Stegostoma tigrinum: one gene and its partner. Each later gene encodes a partner of the first gene's protein in a complex. Links are inferred from orthologs where the notes say so. Each region holds a gene or a part of one and is shown on either strand. Other genes may lie near its edges.

The links. Proteins that work in one complex are often made in the same cells at the same time.
Region 2: mcm5 (region 1) and gins1 share a complex: the UniProt entries of both Homo sapiens proteins name them as parts of the CMG helicase complex. The link is inferred for Stegostoma tigrinum from reciprocal best matches to the Homo sapiens genes MCM5 and GINS1.

Annotation. Positions count from the first base shown.
Region 1 is NC_081391.1:3,319,552-3,327,090, reverse strand, and holds the start of mcm5 (DNA replication licensing factor MCM5), read left to right. Parts: upstream 1-4,533; 5' UTR 4,534-4,738; coding exon 4,739-4,905; intron 4,906-7,539. UniProt on the Homo sapiens protein: Acts as a component of the MCM2-7 complex (MCM complex) which is the replicative helicase essential for 'once per cell cycle' DNA replication initiation and elongation in eukaryotic cells.
Region 2 is NC_081362.1:20,094,724-20,102,647, forward strand, and holds the start of gins1 (DNA replication complex GINS protein PSF1), read left to right. Parts: upstream 1-4,891; 5' UTR 4,892-5,219; coding exon 5,220-5,294; intron 5,295-7,924. UniProt on the Homo sapiens protein: Required for correct functioning of the GINS complex, a complex that plays an essential role in the initiation of DNA replication, and progression of DNA replication forks.

The sequences.
Region 1 (7,539 bases):
AACTTAACAGGGCTCCATTGATAGCACCTCCCTAGCCTGAGACCGCCAACATTTAGAAAGGCCAGGGCAGCAGACACATGGGTACAGTACCACCCAGGTGTTCCCCTCAGACTCAAAAATCAACCTCACTAGCCCCACCACCTCTGGCTTCTCTGTGTCTCCCTCGTCCGCTCCACACTCCCCACGAATTCCACCACCCCCTGCAACTTTTACCTGCAACCGCAGGAAGTGCTACACCTGCCCCTACACATCCCCCCTCACCCCCATCCCAGACCCCAAGAAAACCTTCCACATTAAAGAGATGTTCGCCTGCACCTCTGCTAATGGTATATTGTATCTGCTGCTCCTGATGTGGCCTCCTCTACATCAGGGAAACAAAGCAGAATCTTGGAGACCGCTTTGTGGAACACCTATGCTCGGTTCGCGACAAACAACTGCACCTCCTGGTCGCAAACCACTTCAACTCCCCTTCCCACTCCTTGGACGATATGTCCATCCTGGGCCTCCTTCAGTGCCACAGCGATGCCACCCGAAGGCTGTAGGAACAGCACCTCATATTTCGCTTGGAAACCCTACAGCCCAATGGTCTCAACGTGGACTTCACAAACTTCAAAATCTCCCCACCCCGACCTCATCCCAAGTCCAGCCCAGCTCGTACCCACCTCCTTGACATCTCCGTCTTCCCTCCCATCAGAATCAGAGGACACAGTTTAAAAATAAGGGGTAGGCCATTTAGAACAGAGTTGAGGAAAAACTTCTTCACCCAGAGAGTGGTGGATATATGGAATGCTCTGCCTCAGAAGGCAGTGGAGGCCAAGTCTCTGGATACTTTCAAGAAAGAGATGGATAGAGCTCTTAAAGATAGTGGAATCAAGGGTTATGGGGATAAGGCAGGAACAGGATACTGATTGTGGATGATCAGCCATGATCATAATGAATGGTGGTGCTGGCTCGAAGGACCGAATGGCCTACTCCTGCACCTAATGTCTATTGTCACCCACCCTTCCTTCCCAACTGACCAACCCCCGTCCCAACAACCTACCTACGCTCACCTTTACAGGCTTCACCCCGTCTCCTTGACCTGTCCGTCTTCTCTCCACCTATCTGCTCCTTTATCCACATTCCATCATTGCCTCCCCCTCTCCCTATTTATTTCAGAGACCCCTTCGCCTCCCCCAGCTGTGTTCATCCAGCTCTACACCTTGTTATCCCAGGTTCTCCAGCATCTGCAGTTCCTACTATCTCCAGGCCCGAAACGTCAGCTTACCTGCTCCTCTGATGCTGCTTCGCCTGCTGTATTCATCCAGTTCTACACCTTGTTATCTCTTACTTGGAAATGTATCACTTTCTACTCTTAGACAAGTAATCTGCATTGGAGTCAAGATGAATTCAGAAAGTGCTTAATACGCATTGCTTTAACAATTGAAACAGAAAGGTTGAAAATCTTGAACAATATGTTAAACTGTTATTAACCTTATGGTTAGGTCTCAAGCGTAGCATAATATCAAAATCTGAATACCGTCCTTCAGCAAAAATGTCAAGGTCCTGCATAGGAGGTAGACTGGAATGATTCCAGAGATGAGGGATTTTGATGAATTCAAGACCAAAGGAGCACTTCATGTGGGGAAGATTCATATGTGATTTTATAACCAAGTTCAAATTGATAAAGGATGTTTACAGAACGTAAGGAGAAATTGTAAGATTGGCTCAGTGGTTAACACTGCTGCCTCACAGCCCCAAGAACCCCAGGTTCAATTCCAGCCTTAAGCAACTACCTGTGTGGAGTTTGCATGCTCCCCCTGCGTTTGTGTGGGTTTCTGCTGGGTGCTCTAGTTTCCTCCCACAATCCAAAGATGTGCAAGTTGGGTGGATTGGCCATAATAAATTGCACATAGTGTCCAGGGATGTGTAGGTTAAGTGTGTTAGCCGTGAGAAATGCAGGGTTATGGGGATGGGTCTGGCTGGGATGCTCTTTGGAGGATTAGTGTGCACTTGTTGGGCTGCATGACCTGTTTACACACTGTGGGGATTCTATTTAAAAAATACTCTTCTCAGATACTTTCTAATCAACGTGTTCAAAAATATCATTTTACACTCTGGAGCAGGTGACACTTGAACCTTCCTGCCTCAGAGGCAGGAACAATATCATTACACCATAACAGCCAAAAAGAAACTCTTTCCATTGACAGGGCAGTGAATCAACAGAGGCAAGAGATTGCTCATAGCAGAGTGGGGAGAATTTTCATGTTGCATTCGTTGTGATCTGGAATTCTGCATCTGTAAGGATGGAACTCTCCAAACAGAATTGGTTAAATACATGGATATTTATCTATTTCCACACAATCACTATTTACAACAAATGTAAATATAGGAGGCACAGTTAATAAGTTTGCAGATGACACCAAAACTAGTGGTGTAGTGGGCAGTGAAGATGGTTATCTCAGAGTACAATGGGACCTTGATCAGATGGGCCAATGGGCCAAGGAGTGGCAGATGGAGTTTCATTTAGATAAGTGTAAAGTGTGGCATTTTGGTAAGGTAAGCCAGGGCAAGACTTGTACAGTTAAGGGTAGGGCCCTAGGCTGTGTTGCTAAGCAAAGAGACCCAAGGATGCAGGTGCATAGTTCCTTGCAAGCGGACTCGCAGGTAGACAGGCTGCTGAAGAAGGCATTTGGCACACTTGCCTTCATTGGTCAGAACATTGAATATAGGAGATGGGACATCATGTTACAGCTATAGAGGACAATGGTAAGGCAACTTTTAGAATACTGCATACAATTCTGGCCGCCCTTCCACGTCGTTGTTAAAGCTGAGAGTGCAGAGAAGATTTGTAAGGATGTTTCTGGGACTGGGGGGGTTTAAGTTACGGGGAGGGGCTGAATAAGCTGTGGCTTTTTTGCTGCAGTGTTGGTGGCTGAGGGGGTAACGTTATAGAGGTTTACAAAATCATGAGGGGCATAGCAAAAGTGAGGTCTTTTTCCTAGGGTGGGGAAAGCTAGAGGGCACAGGTTTAAGTCGAGAGGGGAAACATTTGAAAAGGACCTAAGGTGCAACTTCTTCATGCAGATGGGGGATGGTAAATGAAACAAGTGGCAGGCAAAGTGATGCAGGCAAATACAATTACTACATTTAAAAGGCATCTGGATAGGTACAGGAATAAGAAGGGTTTAGAAGGATTTGGACCAAATGCTAGCAATGGACCTGGGTTAGATTGGGATGCCTGGTTGGTGCAGACAGGTTGGATTGAAGGATCTGTTTCCGTGCTGTACATCTTTATGACCTTGGGCGGCACGGTGGCTCAGTGGTTAGCACTGCAACCTCACAGTGCCAGGGACCCAGGTTTGATTCTAGCCTCAGGTAACTGTCTGTGCAGAGTTTGCACATTCTCCCCATGTCTGCGTGGGTTTCCTCCGGGCGCTCCGGTTTCCTCCCACAGTCCAAAGATGTGCAGGCTAGGTGGATCGGCCATGCTAAATTGCCCGTAGTGTTCGGGGGTGTGTGGATTATAGGGGGATGGGACTGGTTGGGATGCTTCAAGGGGCAGTGTGGACTTGCTGGTCCAAAGGGCCTGTTTCCACACTGTGGGGAATCTAACCTAATTGTGAGATTCAAACCCACCGGTGCCTGTGGATTCTTGTTTTGCTTGAAGTGGGGTGTGGTACAGGTTGGGAGCATTTGCATGAAGAGTGATTGAAGTACACAAATGTTTCAATGGAGATTGGCAAGATATAGAATTGCTAACTCTGCCTGGACACATTCCTGAAGCTTTTATCACGGCATTTCCCATCACCTAGTCAAAGATGTTTTTGTTCCCTCAGTGCCAATATCTTTCGAGATGATTAATGCTGTACAAAGTAGGTAAAGAAATCACAACCTTTTCATTACATGGCCCTACGGTCATTCTCCTTGTGTTTCACCCTCTCCAATCAGAAATCATACGACACCAGGTTATAACCCAACATGTTTATTCAAAAACACAAGCTTTTAGAGCATAGACCGTGTCAGGTGAAGCACTCCAAAAGCTTGCGTTTTCAAATGAACTGTGTTGGGCTATAACCTGGTGACTGTGATTTCTGGCCTTGGTCACCCCAGTCTGACACTGGCACTGCCACATCATGATTCTCCAGTGGCCAGGAGGTTAATTGATAATTGCTATTCAGCTCTCAGGACAATGCTCAAATAAAAGCTAAATATGCAGGAAATAATGAAATAAACACAGCAAGTGTTTGGAGATCATGCTGGAGGCTTGGGAACACCTATCAGAAAAACAAACCTGAATAGCAGACCTTCCACTCAGATAGTTCCAGGGAAATCACGTCCCAGGAGGGTTCATCAATGCAAGGAGTTTGTTGCTTTAAGGTGGAAAGTGACCGGGAAAGAGAGGCCTAGGGCCTTTAATTTCCGCCCAAATGGGGGAGCAGCGGCGCAAGGGGCCGGGTGATCGCCCGGAAATGCCTTTTCCTGCTGATTGGCTAATATTTGGCGCCAGAACGGGGATAGGGCGGAGCCAGTTCTAGGAACAGCCAATGAGAGAAAGAGGGCGGGACCTGATGTGGTTCTGGCGCGAAAGCCCAGGGTGCGCGGCGGGGAAGAAGGGAGAGAAATAAAAAATTGAAGAGAGAAAGTAGACGGAAAATAAATAGAGGGAAAGATAAAATAACGAGATAGAGTGAGAGAAAGTGAAGAGGAGGAAGAAGAAGAATTCTCGAGAGGCCCCAGACTCGGGCCCGGCCCCGCCATGTCCGGGTTTGATGATCCCGGCGTGTTTTTCAGCGACAGCTTCGGGTCTGAAACCCCGGGAGACTCGGGCCAGATCCGCCGGACACAGCTCCAGAAGCGGCTGCGGGATTTCCTCCGGCAGTACCGGGAGGGCAGCGACCGCACCGGCTTCACTTTCAAATACAGGTCCGCGCGGAAAGGCGGGGGGGCGGGAGAGAGGGTCAAGGGGAGTGTGGAGGGCAAGGAGGAGGAGGAGGGGGAGAGGTCTCGGGGTGGGGGTGGTCTGAGGAGGGGGGGGCACGGGGTGGGGGGGTGGGGGTGGTCTGAGGAGGGGGGGGCACGGGGTGGGGGGGTGGGGGTGGTCTGAGGAGGGGGGGGCACGGGGTGGGGGTGGTCTGAGGAGGGGGGGGCACGGGGTGGGGGGGTGGGGGTGGTCTGAGGAGGGGGGGGCACGGGGTGGGGGTGGTCTGAGGAGGGGGGGGCACGGGGTGGGGGTGGTCTGAGGAGGGGGGGGCACGGGGTGGGGGTGGTCTGAGGAGGGGGGGGCACGGGGTGGGGGTGGTCTGAGGAGGGGGGGCACGGGGTGGGGGTGGTCTGAGGAGGGGGGGGCACGGGGTGGGGGGGTGGTCTGAGGAGGGGGGGGCACGGGGTGGGGGTGGTCTGAGGAGGGGGGGGCACGGGGTGGGGGGGTGGGGGTGGTCTGAGGAGGGGGGGGCACGGGGTGGGGGGGTGGGGGTGGTCTGAGGAGGGGGGGGCACGGGGTGGGGGTGGTCTGAGGAGGGGGGGGCACGGGGTGGGGGTGGTCTGAGGAGGGGGGGCACGGGGTGGGGGTGGTCTGAGGAGGGGGGGCACGGGGTGGGGGTGGTCTGAGGAGGGGGGGGCACGGGGTGGGGGTGGTCTGAGGAGGGGGGGGCACGGGGTGGGGGGGTGGGGGTGGTCTGAGGAGGGGGGGGCACGGGGGGTGGGGGTGGTCTGAGGAGGGGGGGGCACGGGGTGGGGGTGGTCTGAGGAGGGGGGGCACGGGGTGGGGGTGGTCTGAGGAGGGGGGGCACGGGGTGGGGGTGGTCTGAGGAGGGGGGGGCACGGGGTGGGGGGGTGGGGGTGGTCTGAGGAGGGGGGGGCACGGGGTGGGGGGGTGGGGGTGGTCTGAGGAGGGGGGGGCACGGGGTGGGGGGGTGGGGGTGGTCTGAGGAGGGGGGGGCACGGGGTGGGGGTGGTCTGAGGAGGGGGGGGCACGGGGTGGGGGGGTGGGGGTGGTCTGAGGAGGGGGGGGCACGGGGTGGGGGGGTGGGGGTGGTCTGAGGAGGGGGGGGCACGGGGTGGGGGGGTGGTCTGAGGAGGGGGGGGCACGGGGTGGGGGTGGTCTGAGGAGGGGGGGGCACGGGGTGGGGGGGTGGGGGTGGTCTGAGGAGGGGGGGGCACGGGGTGGGGGGGTGGGGGTGGTCTGAGGAGGGGGGGGCACGGGGTGGGGGTGGTCTGAGGAGGGGGGGGCACGGGGTGGGGGTGGTCTGAGGAGGGGGGGCACGGGGTGGGGGTGGTCTGAGGAGGGGGGGCACGGGGTGGGGGTGGTCTGAGGAGGGGGGGGCACGGGGTGGGGGTGGTCTGAGGAGGGGGGGGCACGGGGTGGGGGGGTGGGGGTGGTCTGAGGAGGGGGGGGCACGGGGTGGGGGGGTGGGGGTGGTCTGAGGAGGGGGGGGCACGGGGTGGGGGTGGTCTGAGGAGGGGGGGGCACGGGGTGGGGGGGTGGGGGTGGTCTGAGGAGGGGGGGGCACGGGGTGGGGGGGTGGGGGTGGTCTGAGGAGGGGGGGGCACGGGGTGGGGGGGTGGTCTGAGGAGGGGGGGGCACGGGGTGGGGGTGGTCTGAGGAGGGGGGGGCACGGGGTGGGGGGGTGGGGGTGGTCTGAGGAGGGGGGGGCACGGGGTGGGGGGGTGGGGGTGGTCTGAGGAGGGGGGGGCACGGGGTGGGGGGGTGGTCTGAGGAGGGGGGGGGCACGGGGTGGGGGGGTGGTCTGAGGAGGGGGGGGGCACGGGGTGGGGGGGTGGTCTGAGGAGGGGGGGGGCACGGGGTGGGGGGGTGGTCTGAGGAGGGGGGGGCACGGGGTGGGGGGGTGGTCTGAGGAGGGGGGGGCACGGGGTGGGGGTGGTCTGAGGAGGGGGGGGCACGGGGTGGGGGGGTGGGGGTGGTCTGAGGAGGGGGGGGCACGGGGTGGGGGGGTGGGGGTGGTCTGAGGAGGGGGGGGCACGGGGTGGGGGTGGTCTGAGGATGGGGGGGGCACGGGGTGGGGGGGTGGGGGTGGTCTGAGGAGGGGGGGGCACGGGGTGGGGGGGTGGGGGTGGTCTGAGGAGGGGGGGGCACGGGGTGGGGGGGTGGGGGTGGTCTGAGGATGGGGGGGGCACGGGGTGGGGGGGTGGGGGTGGTCTGAGGATGGGGGGGGCACGGGGTGGGGGGGTGGGGGTGGTCTGAGGATGGGGGGGGCACGGGGTGGGGGGGTGGGGGTGGTCTGAGGAGGGGGGGGCACGGGGTGGGTGGGTGAGGGGGGGTTCTTAGGAGGGGGGGGCACGGGGTGGGTGGGTGAGGGGGGGTTCTTAGGAGGGGGGGCACGGGGTGGGTGAGGGGGGGTTCTTAGGAGGGGGGGCACGGGGTGGGTGAGGGGGGGTTCTTAGGAGGGGGGGCACGGGGTGGGTGAGGGGGGGTTCTTAGGAGGGGGGGCACGGGGTGGGTGAGGGGGGGTTCTTAGGAGGGGGGGCACGGGGTGGGTGAGGGGGGGTTCTTAGGAGGGGGGGCACGGGGTGGGTGGGTGAGGGGGGGTTCTTAGGAGG
Region 2 (7,924 bases), on another chromosome or scaffold:
TCTATTTAGGAGAGATGAAAGGAAAAGTAAAGAGCTACAGGCGAAGCACTTAGCGCAGACTTCAGTCTCCGAGGGTTGCGGTTTTTCGAAAGGCACCCGGTTTAGTACATTGTTAGCAGCGACTCCCACAGCTTGGAATCAGCTGATCAGTCACAACCTCCAACCTCTCACCCGTTTGGAGGAAACACGCCTCCTATGTTTTAAAGAGTCAATGTATCAGATTCAGCATTCATTTTTCAGGGAAGCAGGCCGGAAAAAGTCACTAAATATTTGAGCTTGTGAGAGGAAGCTTTAAAAAGAATCTTCCAGCTGATTTCTGCGAACTGGCATTTCATAAAAATATTAAAAATATAATGCATGAACCGTCTGGGAGCAAGTTGCAAGTCAATTGGGAGTGAAGTACGAGTATTCAATTAAAATAATGCGTAGCACATGCTATTATTCTGAGAAAGATTTATTGACCAGTATGCGAGTTAAGTGCTGATGCAAAAAGCATGGTGCTAAAATTACAGATTAATAACTGAGCAAATTTGAATTTAAATGGAAGCTTTCACAACCTCCATACATTATGAAGTGCTTGCAGACAAGGTACTTTTGAAGAGTTCACTGTAGAAATGGAAGAAATATGTAGCTAATCTGTGCACAACGAGGTCCCACAAACATCAAATTATGTAAGTGACCAGATTTCTCTGCATTAGTCGAGGGATAATTATTGGCTAGATAACCAGGTGAAACAGCATAGAACTCCAGCTTAATATTGTACATTTACAAGATTTATTTACAACAATACATATTACAAACATACATCCCAAATGTAATCAACCATAGTTTCTGTTCCACCCCATTATCGTAGAAAGCCAAATCAAGCCCCAGTTTATGCCCATCACCTGGATACAATTTCTATAGCCAATTTTGATACAATTAACTCAAAAGTATCAAGAGAACACTTTGAAAGCCTTTGAGAAGGATAAAGCGGAGTGTATCAGTTCCCCCTCCAACCCTATTTCAATTGGATCCCCTCCCTCTCATCCTAAACTCCCTGTCTGTGTTATTGCTACTTGTGAGTGGTGCGTGTCAATTGTTTACTTTGTCAAATGGTTGATTTCACAGTGGCTATATTAAAAGAAAACCCACGCTTTTTTTGCAATAGTGCCAATGGATCATTTACATTCACCTGAGAAGGCAGGTATTCTATTGGGAAAGACCAATTTTCCATGGATTATTGAAAGTAAAGTTGCATTAACGCTCAGCATAAATCTGACCCTCATTTATGTATTGTGTACTTGTTTGCTACTGGGTAAAGCTCTAATCTGCTAATCGACAACTGAATGACAACCGACTGAGTAAAAGCTGTGCTTAAAAATACATTCAAAATCCTTTTATAGAGGTGTACCAAAACAAATTCATTTATAAACTGTACTTCTCGATTATATTATCAAATTCAAAATGATGATTGCCCAACCAATTAAAAATGAACTGAACAATAGGATTGAAAGTTTTTGCTTCTTTGCAGCTATGTCAGGCGAACCAAATTTAATAGTGTACAGTAACTCCTCAAATGACTTTAACATGGGGAAGTCTCTGGTCTACGGCTACCATATTGTCGGACTAGAAAACTCTCGCATTCTTACAGTCTGCCTTAAGCATATCAAAAGGATTTACGTATTAATAACGACTGTATCTTGTTTTCCCAGGTAAAGACATAGTTTTATGGACGTCAAGTCTTAAGGTGGGAATTGAACCCACAACTTGTAGCTCAGAGGTAAGGACACTACCAATATGTAACAAAATCTCTTCAAGTCAGTATCATCTAGGAAGTTAAGTGGAAAGAAATGTTTCTTAGAAATAATGTGTTTGAAGTGACTTTTTGCATACCAGAAGGTAATGTACATTCTCATCAGTATGAGAAAGTATAGAGCAATGCTTAAATAGAATGCCAAACCCCTGTTGAGAGATCTTAAAATTTAGAGATTTCCTGCTTATAAAAAAGTGAACAAAACATTCCATTCATCAGCTTATCCGATACTATCCTGTCAAGCAATCAGTACCTGAAAAGTAATGCCTCAGAACATGATTTCATCTCCTTTACCTGCTGCTTATTGATGTGGAGATCTCCATCAATAAGTTGAGCTTTAAATTGCAGGTTGAGTTAATCATCAAAAATACCTGTTTCTGCACGTGTGACATCATTCCCATTAAGCTCTCAGCTATGCCTATGTTACCTTAAGGCATGATTCTTATTTCAGTTTCTCACTACAGAAACTCTAATTCCTCCTAATAATTCCAAATACTACAGATGCTTTAAATAAAAGCAGAAAATAAAGAAACTCAGCAGGCCTGGAAACATCTGTGGAAATGAATGAAATTTAACATTTCAAGTCCAAAGACTCTTTTTCAGAACTCAGAAGTTCTGAGGAATGGTCACCAGACCCGAAATATTAACTGATTTCTTCTTCACAGATGCTGCCAGACCTGCTGAGCTTTTCCAGCAACATGGGGACCGCTTTGCAGAACACCTCCGCTCAGTTCGCAACAAACAACTGCACCTCCCAGTCGCAAACCATTTCCACTCCCCCTCCCATTCTCTTGATGACATGTCCATCATGGGCCTCCTGCACTGCCACAATGATGCCACCCGAAGGTTGCAGGAACAGCAACTCATATTCCGCCTGGGAACCCTGCAGCCATATGGTATCAATGTGGACTTCACCAGTTTCAAAATCTCCCCTTCCCCCACTGCATCCCTAAACCAGCCCAGTTCATCCCCTCCCCCCACTGCACCACACAACCAGCCCAGCTCTTCCCCCCCACCCACTGCATCCCAAAACCAGTCCAACCTGTCTCTGCCTCCCTAACCGGTTCTTCCTCTCACCCATCCCTTCCTCCCACCCCAAGCCGCACCCCCAGCTACCTACTAACCTCATCCCACCTCCTTGACCTGTCCGTCTTCCCTGGACTGACCTATCCCCTCCCTACCTCCCCACCTACACCCTCTCCACCTATCTTCTTTACTCTCCATCTTCGGTCCGCCTCCCCCTCTCTCCCTATTTATTCCAGTTCCCTCCCCCCATCCCCCTCTCTGATGAAGGGTCCAGGCCCGAAACGTCAGCTTTTGTGCTCCTGAGATGCTGCTTGGCCTGCTGTGTTCATCCAGCCTCACATTTTATTATCTTGGAATCTCCAGCATCTGCAGTTCCCATTATCTCTGATGTTTTTTTTCCTCCCTGATTTACAGCATCCTCAGTTCTTTTTCAAAACAGTTTCTCTCTCCACCAATACTGCTAGATCTGTTGAGTCTCTCCAGAATTTTCTGTTTATTTCTATTTTGCTCAAAATCCAACAAGACCTTGCAGCTATTTTTGCCATTACCACGAGTTTCCCATAGTGACACTGACTGCAAATCTTCAACAATGACAGGAGCTTTTGTTGAGACAGCATTAGTTAGAATTCTTAAGCTATGTGATCTCAATAAATAAAACAAGTTATTTCTTGATAGTAACTTGTGCCTGTGGGACCTAAAAAGGTTTAGCTAGAATAGGTCAGATAGCACCAATAAATCAATCAGCTCATTGTCTCCTACAAGGCATAGGAGAGAAGTTTGGTGGATAATAGTCAACTCAGAAAATCATGGGTATGGGTCTGAAGACCTCTTTCCAACCCTGAACATATTAATCATAAACCTATGTACACAAGTTTGTCAGCAGAGTGTAATAAGTGCTAACTTGGGAATTATTTGCAGAAGTGAAAACAGATGTTGCTTTTTCACTTTTTTCCCCCCAGAAGCTGGTGAATGTTCAAAGTTTGCTGATGTTATTCCTGTAAAAGCAGACGGTAGGTTAAACTGACATAGAGACTGATACATTGCATTAGATTAATAGCTTATCTAGCTACACTGATAGATATGTCCCTGGATTACTTACTGAAGACAAATTTGGCACAGAGTTACCAAGGTTAGAGCATTGAATTGGTTCAAAGTTTAGTGTAGAAGAAATACATTTAAATTTGAAGAGAGTTGGCATCAGTGCTGGACAAAAAGGGAGCAGTACTGTGCCTTCTCTTCAGCTACACTGGGCCAACATCTAGCTAAATTATACAACAAGGACTGTACAGTAGGTTTTCAGCTAAAAAGAACAGTTGGGAGAGGTGGGGAAAATAGGGCTTACATGAAGGGAAATTTTGAAAGTTATGGAGGAAGTAAAACAAGGCAATACGACAGAGATGGGAATAATTATCAAACACTGTGATAAGAGGGGACAGGGCATACAGGCATTGTTAGTATACTAACAGATGAGGAAAAGGCAAAAAAAAGGTAAAAAGGCAGAATAAATGGCTAACTGAATGCACACAGCATTCTTAAAATGGACGAATTAAAAACACATCCCAGACGAACTTGCCTTCATTTTGGGTGGCACGGTGGTTCAGTGGTTAACACTGCTGCCTCATAGCGCCAGGTACCCGAGTTCGATTCCACCCTCGGGTGACTGTCTGTGTGGAGTCTGCACATTCTCCCCGTGTCTGCGTGGGTTTCCTCCCGCAGTCCAAAGATGTGCAGGTTAGGTGAATTGGTCATGCTAAATTGCCCGTAATGTCCCGGGGTGTGTAAATTAGGTGGATTAGATATAGGAAATGAAGGGTTGGGGAGTGGATCTGGGTGGGATGCTTCTTCTTCCTTCGAAAGGGCGGTATGGACCTGGTTTCATGTTGTGGGGATTTTTCTATGAGTAGAAACAAATGGAACATGACGGTTGTGATAGAGAGAGGGTTGCCAGTAGCGAAAGGAAGGGGCAGTTAGAGCGCAAGCGCTCTCCTCGAGTTCGCCAGTTGGGTCTCGCGCTGAGGGAGCCGGTTGACTGAGAAGCTCGAGCCGTAGGGGAAAAAGCAAAATCAAACGGCGAATCTGTTGTACGGGAGGGGGGCATACACAAAGAAGGAATTTCACATTTTTAAAAATAAATCAGTTGACCACACATACCTTTTGTAGGAACATCGAGTAGATATTGTTCGCTGTTTATACTTTGCAGTCAAGCTATTTTTTTCGGGAGGAAGTGACGGAGGTGACTGCCCGCTCTCCACCTTCCTGATTGGTCCCGCCGCCACCTGGGTCTTTAGTCGGTTTTGGCGGGGGTTTGGATGGAAGATTTTTGCTCCGTGTTTTACAGCTCGTCCGTTCTTGTTTGTAGAGGTTTATATTATAATACCGTTTGCTCCTTCTGGGAATAATGTTTTGTGAAAAAGCTATCGAGTTAATCCGAGAACTCCAACGAGCTGCGGACGGTCAGTTGCCCGCTTTTAATGTGAGTAACGTAGTATTTTTCCAAATAAGTCTTTAAAATATTAAAAGTGAAACACTAATCTTACTCCGAAGAAATGTTATTGGGCTCGAGACTTTAACCTTGTTTTTGTGTCTAGGGATGCTGCCAGATCTGCCGAGTTTCTCGAGTGCTTTCAGTTGTTTATTTTAATACCCAACATTTTTACTATTGTTTAATCGAGCAATAATGAAGGACGAGACAAATAATGATGTTGAGGAATAAAAACGCGATTGAATTGGTAGTGAGGGAGAAGGTTATAGGTTCGACAGTGGTCAAGTGGACAGAAAAGTGGCGAGCAAAAACGAAGTTGCTGGAAAAGCTCAGCAGATCTGGCAGCATCTGTGAAAAAGAAAACAGAATTAACGCTTCGGGTCCGGAACTGAGGAAGGGTCACCGGACCCGAAACGTTAACTCTGTTTTCTCCTCTACAGATACTGCCAGACCTGCTGAGCTTTTCCAGCAACTCTCTTATTGTTCCTAATTTACACTATCCGCAGTTCTTTTGGTTCTTAGAAAAGTGGCGAGGTTTTTTGTTTGGCGTGGGGAAAATCAATGCAGAGAAATCTGCGGGAATGGAGTTGGGCAAGACCAAACGAGGCAACGGACTGCGCAGTGAATAGTGGGATATTATGAATTGTAGAGGACCAGAGGAGACTTGGCGTGCCTGCCTCGATCCCTGAAAGGAGAAGGACAGGTTTCATAAAGCATATAGTGGTATGTCATTCAGATATTCGATTTCAGATCCATATTGTTTTCATGTCCATGTATATCTACAGTATAGTGCCATGTAGAATCAAGAATCCCTACAGTGTTGAACCAGGCCATTCAGTCCATCAAGTCTACCCCAACCTTCCAAAAAGCATCCCACTCAGATCCACATCATTGCCCTAAGCCCATAACCCTGCATTTCCCATGGCAAATCGACCAAACCTGCACATCTTTGGACTGTGGGAGAAAGCCAGAGCACCCAGAGGAACCTCTCTCAAACACAAGGAGAATGTGCAAACTCCATACAGACAGTTGCCCAAGGCTGGAATCAAACCCAGATCCCTGGTGCTGTGAGGCAATGGTGCTAATTACCGTGCCACCCTGTGATGATAGTGAAGATTTCACAGAAAACTCAACTCTGGTAGGATTTGTACCCACGACCATTGAATAGCACATTTCACTATTGTTTTGGAAGTCCAGCAGGCTCTCCACTGCGCCACAGAGCTGCATGTCTCTCAATCTACATCGAATATATGAATGCCAAGCTTATACTAGGAGGAACCTGCTTTCTTTGCATAGCCATAACTAGGGAACACAGATGTCAAGTAATTGACAGAAGGATTCGAGGGGAGTTGAGTTTTTTCAATTCAGAGTGTAAATTTTTGGAAATAATTGCATACCTACTCGAGTTTCCATTATCTACAAGGGTACTTGTTAAGGGAAAAAATGGTTCTTCCATCTGGGCCATGGACATACTTGGGAAGCTTTCCCAGATACCTGTACCCTTTGTATCTTAGAGCATATCTGAAAGAAGAAAAGTGATTATACCATGAATGATAATGACTAAAGATGCAGCAGAGAAAGAGCTCTGGGGTCATAATATGTCTGAAACACTGCAGCGCAGCAATGAATTAGGTAATTCAAAGCCTGAATTACAAAAGTAAAACAATAAGAGGATGTTCTATTCACAGTTGCCATAGATATTTTCTGGTAAGATCATTCATATAAATGGCCCAAAGATCCTTGTGTTCCTGTTAATGTTGATTAAATATCTAATTGTACTGTATATCAATAGGAAGGATGTGAAATTCAGATCCCTAATGGAACAAAGATGTTAGCTAGTTCCCATCACATCATTTTCCAGTTTTCTTTTTATAGCTTTACTTAGAAATTCTTACAGTCGATTCTTCTAAGTTGTTTTATTCCAGTTTGCTCAATCTCCCTTCCCCTCAGAGTCAAAATAAAGAATAAATCATGTGCTAAGAGTAGAAATATGCTATTCAGCCCGTTGAGTCTGTTCTGTCATTTAATGAAATCGTGGCTGATCTGATAATCCTCCACTCCCCTTTCCTGCCTTTTCCTCATAACTCATGATTCATTTACGAATTAAATATCTATCTCTGCCTTAACGACTCAATGACCCTGCCTCCCCAGCCTTTTGTGATAAACAATTCTGAACATTCTCCACTTCTGAGAGAAGAAATTCCTCCTCATCTGCCCTAAATGGTCAACGTATTATTCTGAAATTATGCCCTTTGACCCTATACTCTCCTATAAGGGGCAACAAGCTCTCCACATCTACTCTGTCAAGTTAGTTAAGAATTTTATATGTTTCAATAAGGTTGTCTCTCATTCTTCTCTATTCTAATGAAAACCAGCCCAATCCTTCCATACCTCTGATGCCAGTATATCCTTCCTTAGATAAGGGGCCCAAAACTGTTCGTAGTATTCCAGCTGTGGTCTGACTATACTTTGTATAGTTGTAGGAAAACCTCTTTACGTTCATTCTCCATTTCATTTGAAATAAAAGCCAACATTTCATTTGCCTTCCCATTACCTACTGAACTTGGATGCTTGTTTTTTTGTGATCCATGGGCAATGACTCCTAAATCCTTATGTTTCTT